Callithrix jacchus: one gene and its partner. The protein of the gene in region 1 interacts with the protein of each later gene in a pairwise test. Links are inferred from orthologs where the notes say so. Each region holds a gene or a part of one and is shown in the gene's direction. Other genes may lie near its edges.

What was found. The genes of interacting proteins can lie anywhere in the genome.
Region 2: the proteins of NAIF1 (region 1) and SOX14 interact in binary tests that used the Homo sapiens proteins (3 or more experiments, as listed by UniProt). The two-hybrid records come from large-scale screens. The link is inferred for Callithrix jacchus from reciprocal best matches to the Homo sapiens genes NAIF1 and SOX14.

What each region holds. Positions count from the first base shown.
Region 1 is NC_133502.1:176,681,361-176,687,383, reverse strand, and holds the start of NAIF1 (nuclear apoptosis-inducing factor 1), read left to right. Parts: upstream 1-2,520; 5' UTR 2,521-2,763; coding exon 2,764-3,274; intron 3,275-5,518; coding exon 5,519-5,991; 3' UTR 5,992-6,023. Other genes in the region: mitochondrial adenyl nucleotide antiporter SLC25A25, read right to left, coding at 1,211-1,468. UniProt on the Homo sapiens protein: Induces apoptosis.
Region 2 is NC_133518.1:46,541,362-46,547,044, reverse strand, and holds SOX14 (transcription factor SOX-14), read left to right. Parts: upstream 1-2,539; 5' UTR 2,540-3,015; coding exon 3,016-3,738; 3' UTR 3,739-4,569; downstream 4,570-5,683. UniProt on the Homo sapiens protein: Acts as a negative regulator of transcription.

The sequences.
Region 1 (6,023 bases):
CCTGGACCTAGCTCACTGATTCTCTCTTGCATAGCATTAATCTTGGTCTTCTTAGGCTGATCCTAATAGGTTAAATATCTTGGATGTTGACTCAAGAGATCTTGAACATGAGTTAACAACACTTTATGTACACCCACCCAACAAATGGGTTTAATTCACTGGCGGTTTACCAGATTCTTTGCATACCTGGCTATGAGATTCTCTAATTGTTGTGTGTACAAATGGACCAAACTAACTCAGCAAAGAAACAGGTTCTTAGGTAAAGTACTCAGGAGTCCTATTCCAGGTTCCAGGTTGTAAATCAGGCTAAGCTACAGTAGATGAAATACTTGGGAAAATGGCAGCTACACCTGCCAAGTCGGACTGAAGTGGAAGAGACAGAAGGAAAAGAAATAGCCTCTGCTCTGAGCTTTTTATACAGAAAGGCCAGTACTTCACTTCCTTGCAGGCCCAGGGATGACCATTTCTCTGTGCCCCTCTGCCCCTACCTTGGCCAAGAGCCCACAACAGTGACAATCTCGCCTCTTACATTTTCCCCCGCTTTGACTTTTAGAAAAAAAAATTCCCCCAGATTCCTTCACTCTATCATCACTCCAACCCGCAGGGATCACGATCCCATTTTTTGGATAAACAGGGCAATGGAGATGAGCCTAAACCATGAGAACTGTCAGTCTCCGCCGCCCACGTCCACACGGATCTGCCTGAAACCCCAATACCAATTTTTTTCAACTCCCACATGCTCCTGAGAGGAACTAGATCGGGGCCTAAGGCCGGCATGGAAACGAGAGGGAAAGGAGGAGGTGCTGCTGAGGACTGATGGATGAACCCATCATCCATGGGTGAAGGGAGTGTCGAGCTTGGTCTTGAGGTCAGGAGGTGACAAAGGCACATTCCTGAGACCTGGCCTTCTGCTCTGGGGAAAGCCCGGGCAAGAAAGGGCTTTTCGCCCATCAGAAGGCCCAGAGGGTGCCCACCTGTGTCCACAAAGAGCCCGGCCCAAGAACCCAAACAGGTCAGGAAGGAGCCCCACTCCCACCAGGGCATAAGTGGGGTGTCCTTCTGTCAGGGGCACCCTTCCTCTGGACAGTGGGGGTCCCACCCAGCCCAAGGGGCCGTCCCCCGAGATCTGTCACCAGCGGCCCGGCCGCACCTGTGACCCAGCGCTCTGGGGGCTCCCTTCCCGGCAGTGCCGAGGGCGCGCGCAGCCTACCTGGAGTTCGCCCTCGGTGCGGTGCAGTCCCAGGCGCCGCAGCCCCACCGCCAGGTCGTTGACACACAGACCGCCGTCCCTGTTGACGTCGAGCGTCTGAAAGAGGCTCCACAGGCGCAGCCGGTGGTCCGGGCCCCCACAGACGGCGCCGCCGCAGGGGTCCCCCACCGACGCCGGCGACGAGGCGGACGAGGAGGCGGCGGCGGCGGCGTCCGGCGGCGGGGAGGCCACACAGCGGCACAACACACTGCTCACCATCGGGTGCGAGGCAGGGGCTCTGAACGCGGGCGGGGGCGGCGGGCCGGCGGGGACGGCGCGGAAGGCACGCCGGGCACCACTCTGGAAGTGCAAGCGCGGGCTCGGAAACGCCGGCAAGCTGGAGGGAGGGGAGGCTTCCGGGAGCCCCGCCCCTCCCGCGCGCTGCCTCACAGGCCACGCCCCCAGAATCCTCGAGGCCAATCACAGGCTCGGACGGAGACCCTGGAGGGGCGGAGCCGACTAAGAACAGCCCACAGCGCCCCGAACTACCCGGATTAATGGGGTGGGCGGGGTCATCCCGTTCCGCCTGGGGCCGATTCAAACTGATGGAGGCGGTGATTGGCTGAGCGAGAGACGAGAGAGTGAGAGAGAGAGAGAGAGAGAGAGAGAGAGAGAGAGGAGAGAAAGGAGAGAGAGAGAGAGAGAGAGAGAGAGAAAAAAAATTGAGGAAAAATTACGCAGCGATAGGCAGAAGTCATATGATTAGGCGGAAGACCCCGTGTCCAGTTTCCATTGATGAACTCTGTTTAGACTATGGGATCTTAAAGATGGGAGGAGCGGTCGTGTACGGAGAGATCGTAGCCTCCGGTGGGAAATAGGATTTGTGTGAGAGCATTTATGAACTGCAGTTGCGAGGCGGAGTTTGTGCCGGTGAGAGGAATTAAAAATTAATTGACTCACAGCTCACGGCCGAAAGCACTAAGTATCCTCAGGAAGCAGGGTTTTGGTAATCTAACTCCGTAAACCATCAATAAAATAGCTGAGTTTAACGGCTTAATAGTCATAATACTGATAATTGAACGACAGAATGATTTCCCAATGAAAGTGAATTAAGCTTAGGTGGGCGGGGCGCTCTGGACGACAGACACAATTTTAGACCAAAGATCAGGCTAATTCCAGTAAGTAGGCGTGCTCTTTAGCTGAGCGACAGACAGAAAGAACCAGTGATCGATGTGATATTTGAGCCGCGCCCCACCGGGAGGGCGGGTTCTCCCGCAGAAGGGCTGGGAGGCGGGAAGAGGGGAAGTGGGCGGATCTCCGCACACCCCGGCGGAAGAGGCAGATTCAGGAAGCCATTACGCAGCTGGCTGGCAGCGGCCGGGCCGGTTGGGGCTGGGCCCTACGCACTTTGCGTAGCGAGGAGGGTTACCTAAGGCCTAGTGCTTGGCCTCGAGCAAGCCCGGCCTATCCCCCTATAGGGGGTGGGTGAGGGGCGAGGCTGAGGAAGAAGAGTAGGGGAATTGGGGCGCTTGAGGGGATTATAATTTCTTTAAACAGAGGGGAGGGGACAGGCCATGGCAGTCCCAGCCAAGAAGAGGAAGATGAACTTCTCGGAGCGGGAGGTGGAGATCATCGTGGAGGAGCTGGAGCTGAAGAAGCACCTGCTGGTGAACCACTTCAACGCCGGGGTACCCCTGGCTGCCAAGAGCGCGGCCTGGCACGGCATCCTGAGAAGGGTCAACGCCGTGGCCACCTGCCGCAGGGAGCTGCCTGAGGTCAAGAAGAAGTGGTCTGACCTCAAGACCGAGGTCCGTCGTAAGGTTGCCCAGGTCCGGGCTGCTGTGGAGGGTGGCGAGGCCCCGGGGCCCACTGAGGAGGACGGAGCTGGGGGGCCTGGGACAGGCGGTGGCAGTGGCGGCGGTGGCCCAGCTGTAGCCCCCGTGCTGCTGACCCCCATGCAACAACGTATCTGCAACCTGCTGGGTGAGGCCACCATCATCAGCCTGCCTAGCACCACAGAGATCCACCCCGTGGCCCTCGGACCCTCGGCCACCGCAGCCACCGCCACGGTCACCCTGACACAGAGTGAGTGACCTCTCCTGTTCAGGCGGCGTGCATAAGTGGGAAGGGCCAGCAAGCTCTGGGGTGGCCTGGGGAAGGTTGGCTGCCAAGGGTCAGAGGTCAGATGGGGGTCTTGGAAGACCGTGAGGCCTTCCAAGAGCAGCACCCCAGACAGAAGTGATCTTGCAGGCTGGGCGCAGTGGCTCACACCTGTAATCCTAACACTTTGGGAGGCTGATGTGGGTGGATCACCTGAGGTCAAGAGTTCAAGACAAGCCTGGCCATCATGGTGAAGCCCCATCTTAAAAAAAAAAAAAAAAGAAGTGATCTTGCTCTCTCAGGGACTTCCTCAGCATGTGGCCTGGACTTCTGATGTGCTGGATAGCTCGCCATTGAGCATTGTCACCATGTTTCCATGACTTACCTCCAGTTGCCAAACTGGGTGGTCCTTGAAGACAGAGACCATGTCTGTATCCCCACAGGACTTTTTGCAGGGCCAGGCATGTAGTAGACAGCCAGGCCGTATTTGTTGAAAAAATAGATGGGAATAATGCTGCCCAAGTGAGACAACAATTCTGGATTGTGTTTTCAGTGCCAGGGAACTTTGATCAGGTGCTGCTCGGGAGCCTCATGGTTCCTGTTGTTAATCTACTCATTCATTGATTCATTCATTCATCAAACATTAGCACTTATTCTGTACCAAACCCTGTACTGGGCATTGGGATTACCATGTTGTCTAAAATAACAGGCCAGTTATGTTCTAGTAGGACAGAGATGGCATATATAGGAATAGCTTCACCATCAGTTAGGAAAACCTAAGGTTCCAAAAGAGAAAGGGGGCTTCTTGGTGGCATGGGGATACGTAGCTGACATTGGCATTGAAGGGTGTAGGAGCTTGACCTCTTCTACATGCGTGGAGGCCCAAACAGCCCAGCTAGGATCCTTTTCAAGGTTCTCAGCTAGAAATAACAACAGAACTAACTTTGGTTGGATTTTTTTAGTTCAGAGAAGGGTTTGTGCCTGTGACTGTTAACTCTGCTTGTTTGTAATGGCTGTGAGCTGGATCCATCAGTGATTCTTAGTAGGGGTTGAGGGAGCTGGGTGGATGTGTGAGTGCCATCCCCCTGTAATGCGTATTTCTCAAGAATATGTTGGGGTGGGTAAGAGGGACAAACACGGGTTTAAATCAGATGCTACTCTGGATCAGGAAGGATGTTTGAGTATTGCATTGACCCAGATGATGAAAGAGAGAGGGAAACATTGATTGGGCACTTTAGCTGCCACCACCCCATTCCCACCTCCTTTTCTGCTTGGCCACAGGGGACTAGGAAGTCAAGTCAAGAAAACATCAAAGGGCTGGGCGTGGTGTTTTACGCCTGTAATCCCAGCACTATGGGAGGCCGAGGTGGGCAGATCACTTGAGGTCAGGAGTTCAAGACCAGCCTAGCCAATATGGTAAAACCTTGTCTCTACTAAAAGTATAAAAATTCCCCGGGCTTGGAGGCGGGGTACCTGTAGTCCCAGATACTCAGGAGGCTGAGGCACAAGAATCACTTGAACCTAGGAGGTGGAGGTTGCAGTGAGCTGAGATCATGCCACTGCGCTCCATCCTAGGCAACATAGCAAAAGAGCAAAAATCCATCTCAAAAATAAATAAATAAAAAGCAAGCATGAAAGGAGGTAGGACTAATGTAGTGGCAAAGAGCATGTGTAGAGTCCCACCCAAGATGCCTACTGCACTGGCACCACAGGGAGCATGTGACCCAGCCTCCGAGGTGCCTTAGCTAGGAGCAGCCCCGCATGGAGATCAGGGCTCAGCTGTTTGGGAGACCTGGGTTTGCCTTTTGGCTCTGCCGAATGAGCTCTGTGACCTTAGCAAGTCAGTCTACATTTCTCAGTCTGTTTCCTCATCTCTGGAAAATGAAAATGACAGCACCTACCTCTTGCTGTCATTTTGAGGATTTGTTGAGCTAATGAGTACAAAGTGCCTGACATGTTGTAGTTGCTCTGAAAGTTTTGCTAGTATTATGATCAACATCTTCACTTTTGCCAGATCCAGGGCTGGCCCTTTGATTGCCAAGTACATTAAGATTCTGAACCCCTTAGATTCAAGATTTATATGTGAATAGCTATGCAGCCAGGGGAGGCCTGGATTTTCCTTTAATGTCGCTCCAGGACAGGACTTTCTGGCCTTCTCTCCACCCTATACAGCCAGCTTCATTCCTTCTAGAAAGTGACCTTCCTCAGCCTCTTCTTTCTACCCTGCAGTCCCCACAGAGACCACCTATCACACCCTGGAGGAGGGCGTGGTGGAGTACTGCACAACTGAGGCGCCTCCGCCGCTGCCGCCAGAGGCTCCCGTGGAGATGATGGCCCAGCATGCAGACACGGCAGTCAAGCCGCAGGCGCTCAAGAGCCGCATTGCCCTCAACTCCGCCAAGCTGATACAGGAGCAGCGAGTAACCAACCTGCATGTGAAGGAGATCGCGCAGCACCTGGAGCAGCAGAACGACCTGCTGCAGATGATCCGCCGCTCCCAGGAAGTGCAGGCCTGTGCCCAGGAGCGCCAGGCCCAGGCCATGGAGGGCACACAAGCCGCCCTGAGCGTCCTCATTCAGGTCCTCCGGCCCATGATTAAAGATTTCCGCCGCTACCTACAGAGCAACACAGCTAACACGGCCCCTGCCTCTGACCCTGGGCAGGTGGCCCAGAATGGGCAGCCAGACAGCATCATCCAGTGAGGGCAGGGGTCAGGCCAGCCTTCTGCCATGAT
Region 2 (5,683 bases), on another chromosome or scaffold:
GTGGCTTTGCAGTTCGCCTAGGAGACAAGCTGATGCGAGGCCTGGAGGGTGCAGCCCTCAACCCTGCGTTCCCTCCCCGCACGGAGTTCTTGTCTCAACGCGCAGTGCAGATGCTGGCCCCCTCCTAGATCACTGCAGCGGGACCAGGCAACCCCGGTCTCCGAAACTTCGGGAGATCAGCTGGCGCCCTGTCCGCCATCAAACGCCCTTCGTATCACTCTGCTACGCATTGCTAATAGCTTTTGGATTGCGACCTAAGGCTGAACACAGGAATCTTGGAGAGGAGCTCGGGCGTTTGAGGAGAAGGAAATCAGAGGAATTGCAGGAAGGCGCTCCCCTGCCCCCAGCCGCCTCCGGACAATTGGAAAGGATTGTCCTGGAAGCTGAGAGGAGAGAAAGGGTGTAGGACCTTGTGCCAGATCCCCTTGTTGAACAATTTCCAAGAGCTTGGTTTGCATTAACCCAGACCTCTCGGTATGCGTTTGGTGTCCCCTAAGGGTTCTAGAATGAGAGACTGGCAGGCCCCCTCCAAACGCTGGGCCTCGCTGCAGATAATCAGTATTTCTCTCATTCCTTCCCAAAGCCGTCGTGATCATCCAGTAGAATTAGAATCAGGTGGCTCCTGAACCTCCTATCCCTGACTGGCTCTGAGCATAGCGCACCGCTGGTCAGACCTGAGTTGGAGTTGCCAGCGACGCTTGGAAACCCTTGCCAGACTGGACTGAAAAGTGCGTTTGCTTCCTGAGACCCTAAGCTAAATGAAACTGCCCGTAGAGAAAACAAGGTTAGAGGGCTGGATAGAGGCTCTGGAGAAAGGCCAGAGCTGGGGTTGGGAAGGAATGTAAAGGCTGTGCACCTGTTTGCCAGCCCTCGGAGGTGGAGCCCGTGGCTAAGCAATCAAGTGCAGGATCAGCCTTCCAGGGTGGTTTATCTGCATGGCAGGTGTCGATCACCCTCGATTGCCCTAATAGTTTCATCAAGTGTTCCACATTGAGCTGCAGCCCCATAAAATCCCTAGATGTGACGCCAGGTGGAATGGGGGTAAAAATCGGGATTTTCAAATCCCATACATCTGGCATGACTCCGGAGTCACTTTTGACAAATCACCTGTCTTTCTCAACCTAAGTTTCCTAATCTGTAAAATGGCAATATTGCCCACCTCTGAAAAGTGCACCAAGGGTGAGAAATTCCACGCATTTTTCTAATTGTAGGAAGGAGAAGCAAAGTCTTCTCCTCACACTTGATATACTATATGCTAGAGAAAGACCCTCCCTTCAGGTCTCCTCATTCCCTGTCACCCTCCCCCACTCTTAGCCCCTCGGAGCTAACGGAGCCTTGCGCATTTCTGGCCGGTCTTCCCAAGAGAGGCTGGTGCAAAAGCCAATAAGCCTGGAACACACGCAGGTCCCGCCAGTCCTGGGACAATGGTTTCCATTTAATAAATATTTCCCCCAAGGGCATTTCACATCGGGCAGGCAATTATTCAAAGGAAACAGGCGCGCAGGTTGGCTCTGCGGGTTATTTCGTCCTCTTTACCCGAAGAATGCTCATCTGACGCAAGAAACGAGTCTCGCAGCGGGAAGAGGCGCCCAGGGACAAATGGACCCTTGTTGCAGAGACACCATGAGACTCCTCTCTAGGGCCGCTGCAGAAGGGGCACCCAGAAGACCCTCACACCCAGCCTCCAGGCTGTTCTTACGGTTTGAACATTTGCGGAGTGAAAGTTGGAGGTTTAAAGGCACAAATAATAACATAAATGAGAACTGTGATAGAAATCTCAGCCCCACCCCCGCCCCCAAAGTGAAGAACAGGTCTTAGTGCTTTTAAGGGCTCACCAACCAAGGTTCGAAATCTGCATTGCCGGACGCGAGGCCTTCCGGCAGCAGGTCAGAAAACACTGCTCAGCCACCCAGGATGCCAGTATCTACGCCCAAGCGCCGCATCTTGGGGCAGAGATGGATGCCGAGGTGCAGGGGCGTCCCGGGAGAACACTGCCAAAGGACTGCCGAGGGTGGGGCGCGAAAAGTTTATTTCGCTTTTACCCTGAGCTTGCTATGTTCTTTTTCTCTTCCAAGGATCTTTGACAAGGGGGAAAGTGCTGCCCTTGCATTTCTTGGCAAGGCTGTCCTATTTATCAACACAAGGTCTCGCCTAGCTCCCTTTGCTGTCCCTTCCCCGAGCCTTTGTATTCCAAGCCCTAATTCTCTTTCACCACCAGAAACGAAACGGGAGGCGCGAAGAGTTTTATTTGTTGACAGTACCGGAGATAATGAGGAACCCAAGTCCCCAATCCTGAGCTAGCCGCTCTGCTCTCGCCCTCTCTCTGCCTCTGTCCCTCACACCTCTCCCCGCCCCCACCAGTCGCGCTCCCTCTTTCTTGCACCGGCGTGTTGGCAGGTGCGCCCCCTCGGCTTCTCTGCTGCTGATTGGCGCCCAGGTTGGGGAGTCGCCGCCCCGCGCTTATGTCAGAGTGCGTGCCGTCCCGGCCCACCTCGCCTTTGAACTTCGCCGCTTTTGGCTGTCGTTCACCAGCCTCCCCGCATTCTCAGCCAGGTGCAGCGCTAGGCGCGGCAGCTCCAGGAAAGCCACGGGAGGGGGGAGCTACGACTGGAAAAGCAAGAGGAGAGAAGGGAACGAGAGAAGGCAAAGGTGGAGAGGGGGAGAAGGAGGAGCTTCTTGCCCTGGCCAAAAAATTACCTGGCCACTTAATTCCCGAGACTCCGATACTTGGGCCCCAGCCCCTGGTGCCTGCAGCCCCCTGGCCGATCGCCCTCTCCTCCCCCGCCCTTTCCGCTCCCACTAGCTCCCCGGGGGCTGCCTGGGTGCTGGGACTGGCATGATCAGCTGAACTTTCTGGGGTCAGTTCTTCTCTCTGGCTTCCCCTCAGCGGCGCCAAGGCGAGGGGAGCTCAGAACCCCGGCTCTGGACGGACAGACAGACAGACAGCCAACCGCGCCCAGGTTCGTCTGCACAACCCTTGCACTCCCTACCCCCACCCGCCTAGTCGCCGGGACCATGTCCAAACCTTCAGATCACATCAAGCGGCCCATGAACGCCTTCATGGTATGGTCCCGGGGCCAGCGGCGCAAGATGGCCCAGGAAAACCCCAAGATGCACAACTCAGAGATCAGCAAACGCCTAGGCGCCGAATGGAAGCTTCTGTCCGAGGCAGAGAAGCGGCCATACATCGACGAAGCCAAGCGGCTACGCGCCCAGCACATGAAGGAGCACCCTGACTACAAGTACCGGCCGCGGCGCAAGCCCAAGAACCTGCTCAAGAAGGACAGGTATGTCTTCCCCCTGCCCTACCTGGGCGATACGGACCCGCTCAAGGCGGCAGGCCTGCCCGTGGGGGCTTCCGACGGCCTCCTGAGCGCGCCCGAGAAAGCCCGGGCCTTCTTGCCGCCGGCCTCGGCGCCCTACTCCCTGCTGGACCCCGCGCAGTTTAGCTCGAGCGCCATCCAGAAGATGGGTGAAGTGCCCCACACCTTGGCCACCAGCGCGCTGCCCTACGCGTCCACCCTGGGCTACCAGAACGGCGCCTTCGGCAGCCTCAGCTGCCCCAGCCAGCACACGCACACCCACCCGTCCCCCACCAACCCCGGCTACGTGGTGCCCTGTAACTGTACCGCCTGGTCTGCCTCCACCCTGCAGCCCCCCGTCGCCTACATCCTCTTCCCAGGCATGACCAAGACTGGCATAGACCCTTATTCGTCAGCCCACGCCACGGCCATGTAACCCCCAGCCCGGCCCGGACCTGAAGGGTGGCTTGAAAGCCGGGTCTGCACCCTGTCCTCTGAGCCTAGCCCTGGCCTGCAGACGCCTCCGGGGGTCAGCCCTGCCGCTGTCCCTGACACCACCCCAGACTTTTCCTCTCTCTTCCAGGGGGAAGGGAGGGGCGTCCTCCTGGACCCAAGGCGCAGACAGGTGCCAGAAACTTGCAAACGTTGTGACAGCTACACAGCTACCCCTATCCCGACTCTCTCAAAACAAATCTCCGACTGTACCCCCTTTGGACAAAAAAGTAGGCAGTTTTGCTTTATTTATGTCCCCTTCACTCTCCTCGAATAGGCTTTGGACTCTGAACTTTCAGATCCTGATATTATATCTAGAATATGCATATATTTTTTTCCTTTTGTCCCCTGAAGAAAAGAGTTAGCTGTGTCTCTGTGTTTTGGCATCAGACACAACTAGGAGCCATTTGCTCTTCACATGTGGGAGGGAAAAGGCTTCAAAGTTTTAAACTACAGAAAGGGAAACATTTCTATTTAAAACCATGCTATGATACTGTTTGCTTCTTTAAAGGGAAAACAAAAAGGACCTACATGGTTATTTACTTTGTGTAAAGCAGTGCTTCTAGAGACCTAAGTTTACTTTTAGACAGAATGTCGGGTTATGAAGTCAGGAAGTAGAAGGTGAACAAAAAGTTAAAAGAATTAAAAGATCCTAAATGGTCATAAATGTTTTGACAATGTCTTGGAAATGTACCTAGAAGGATTTTACCTCGTTACTCTGTTCATTTGTTGAACAAAGACGTTTTGAATAAAGACAATCTGTCATTGCAAAAAAGTAACCTTTGATGTGCCTAAAATCTGAAGTCAGGAGCCAGGTTGGAGGGGCTGGAAAGTCGGGTTCGGGGAGGCTGAAAGTGCAAAGAGGGACTCTAAGCAGTGATGGCTGGTGGCTGCCCCCTCAACCGCCGTTGGTCCAGCTTGGTGGTCTGCCGGTGTGGTGTAGAAGGGCCTAGAGTCTGGGATCTGTCTGGAATGCGTCCTGGAAATTGCTTTTTGCCTTTAGAGACTAGACAAAGATATCTGTCCCTGGGACTTCACTCTCCCTGCCCGTTCTTCCCGGAAAGGTCAGGCCACTTCAAGGAGTGAATGAACTAAGACAAAGATGGACCCAGACTGCAGAGATCTGGGTGAGTTTACTTTTTTAGAAACCAAACGCTGAAGGAGTGGGGAGAAGCACCGAGTCTCCTGGGAACCAGTTGCGCGCTGAACTCCGCGTCCCGTAGTGGATGTTTAAGTTCAAAGCATGGGAAAAGACTGGGGAAATCGGGTATTTTGTCTTTTTTAGGTGTTTGGAAACGCTGCTGCCCACCCCTCTGGGGATTCGGGGCTTGATACTGGGTTCCTAACTTAAAAACTAAAACTCTAAGAAATGCAGAAAATGTGCCATAGGTCCCCGCCCCAGACTGTCGAACACTTTTTACTGAGACCCTGCAGGAGAAGAGGGAAAAGGAAAGCGACGTTGTCACTTGCTAAGGCAAGGAGTTTTTAAAAATCGTAAGGAAAAAAAAAACAGTGCAGCCCATGATGTTAAACAAGGAAAAGAGCCCTTTTCTTCCCCTCCGGGTGAATGTTTTCTTGAAGATTATTGTCTTTCCTGCGGAGAAAGGACCCTCCGATGTCATCCAGCAAAACTCTTTGGAATGTGTTCTCAAAATCGAAGGGTGCTTCCCACCCTTGGTCTGGGAGTCTCACCCCTAGAGTCACGCTCACGCGTGGTTTTCCTTAATTTGCGTACTTTTCCCACTGCTTTTGATATGCTGCGGGGTGGGAGGTGGGGCAGCCTCGAGGTTTGTCGGCTTTCTGCTGCTGTTAAGAGATTTGCGCGCTTGCCTCTGCTGTTTCCAAAGGAGTCGGTGGCTGGAGGTGCAAGGGAAACGTTGTCAACAGAC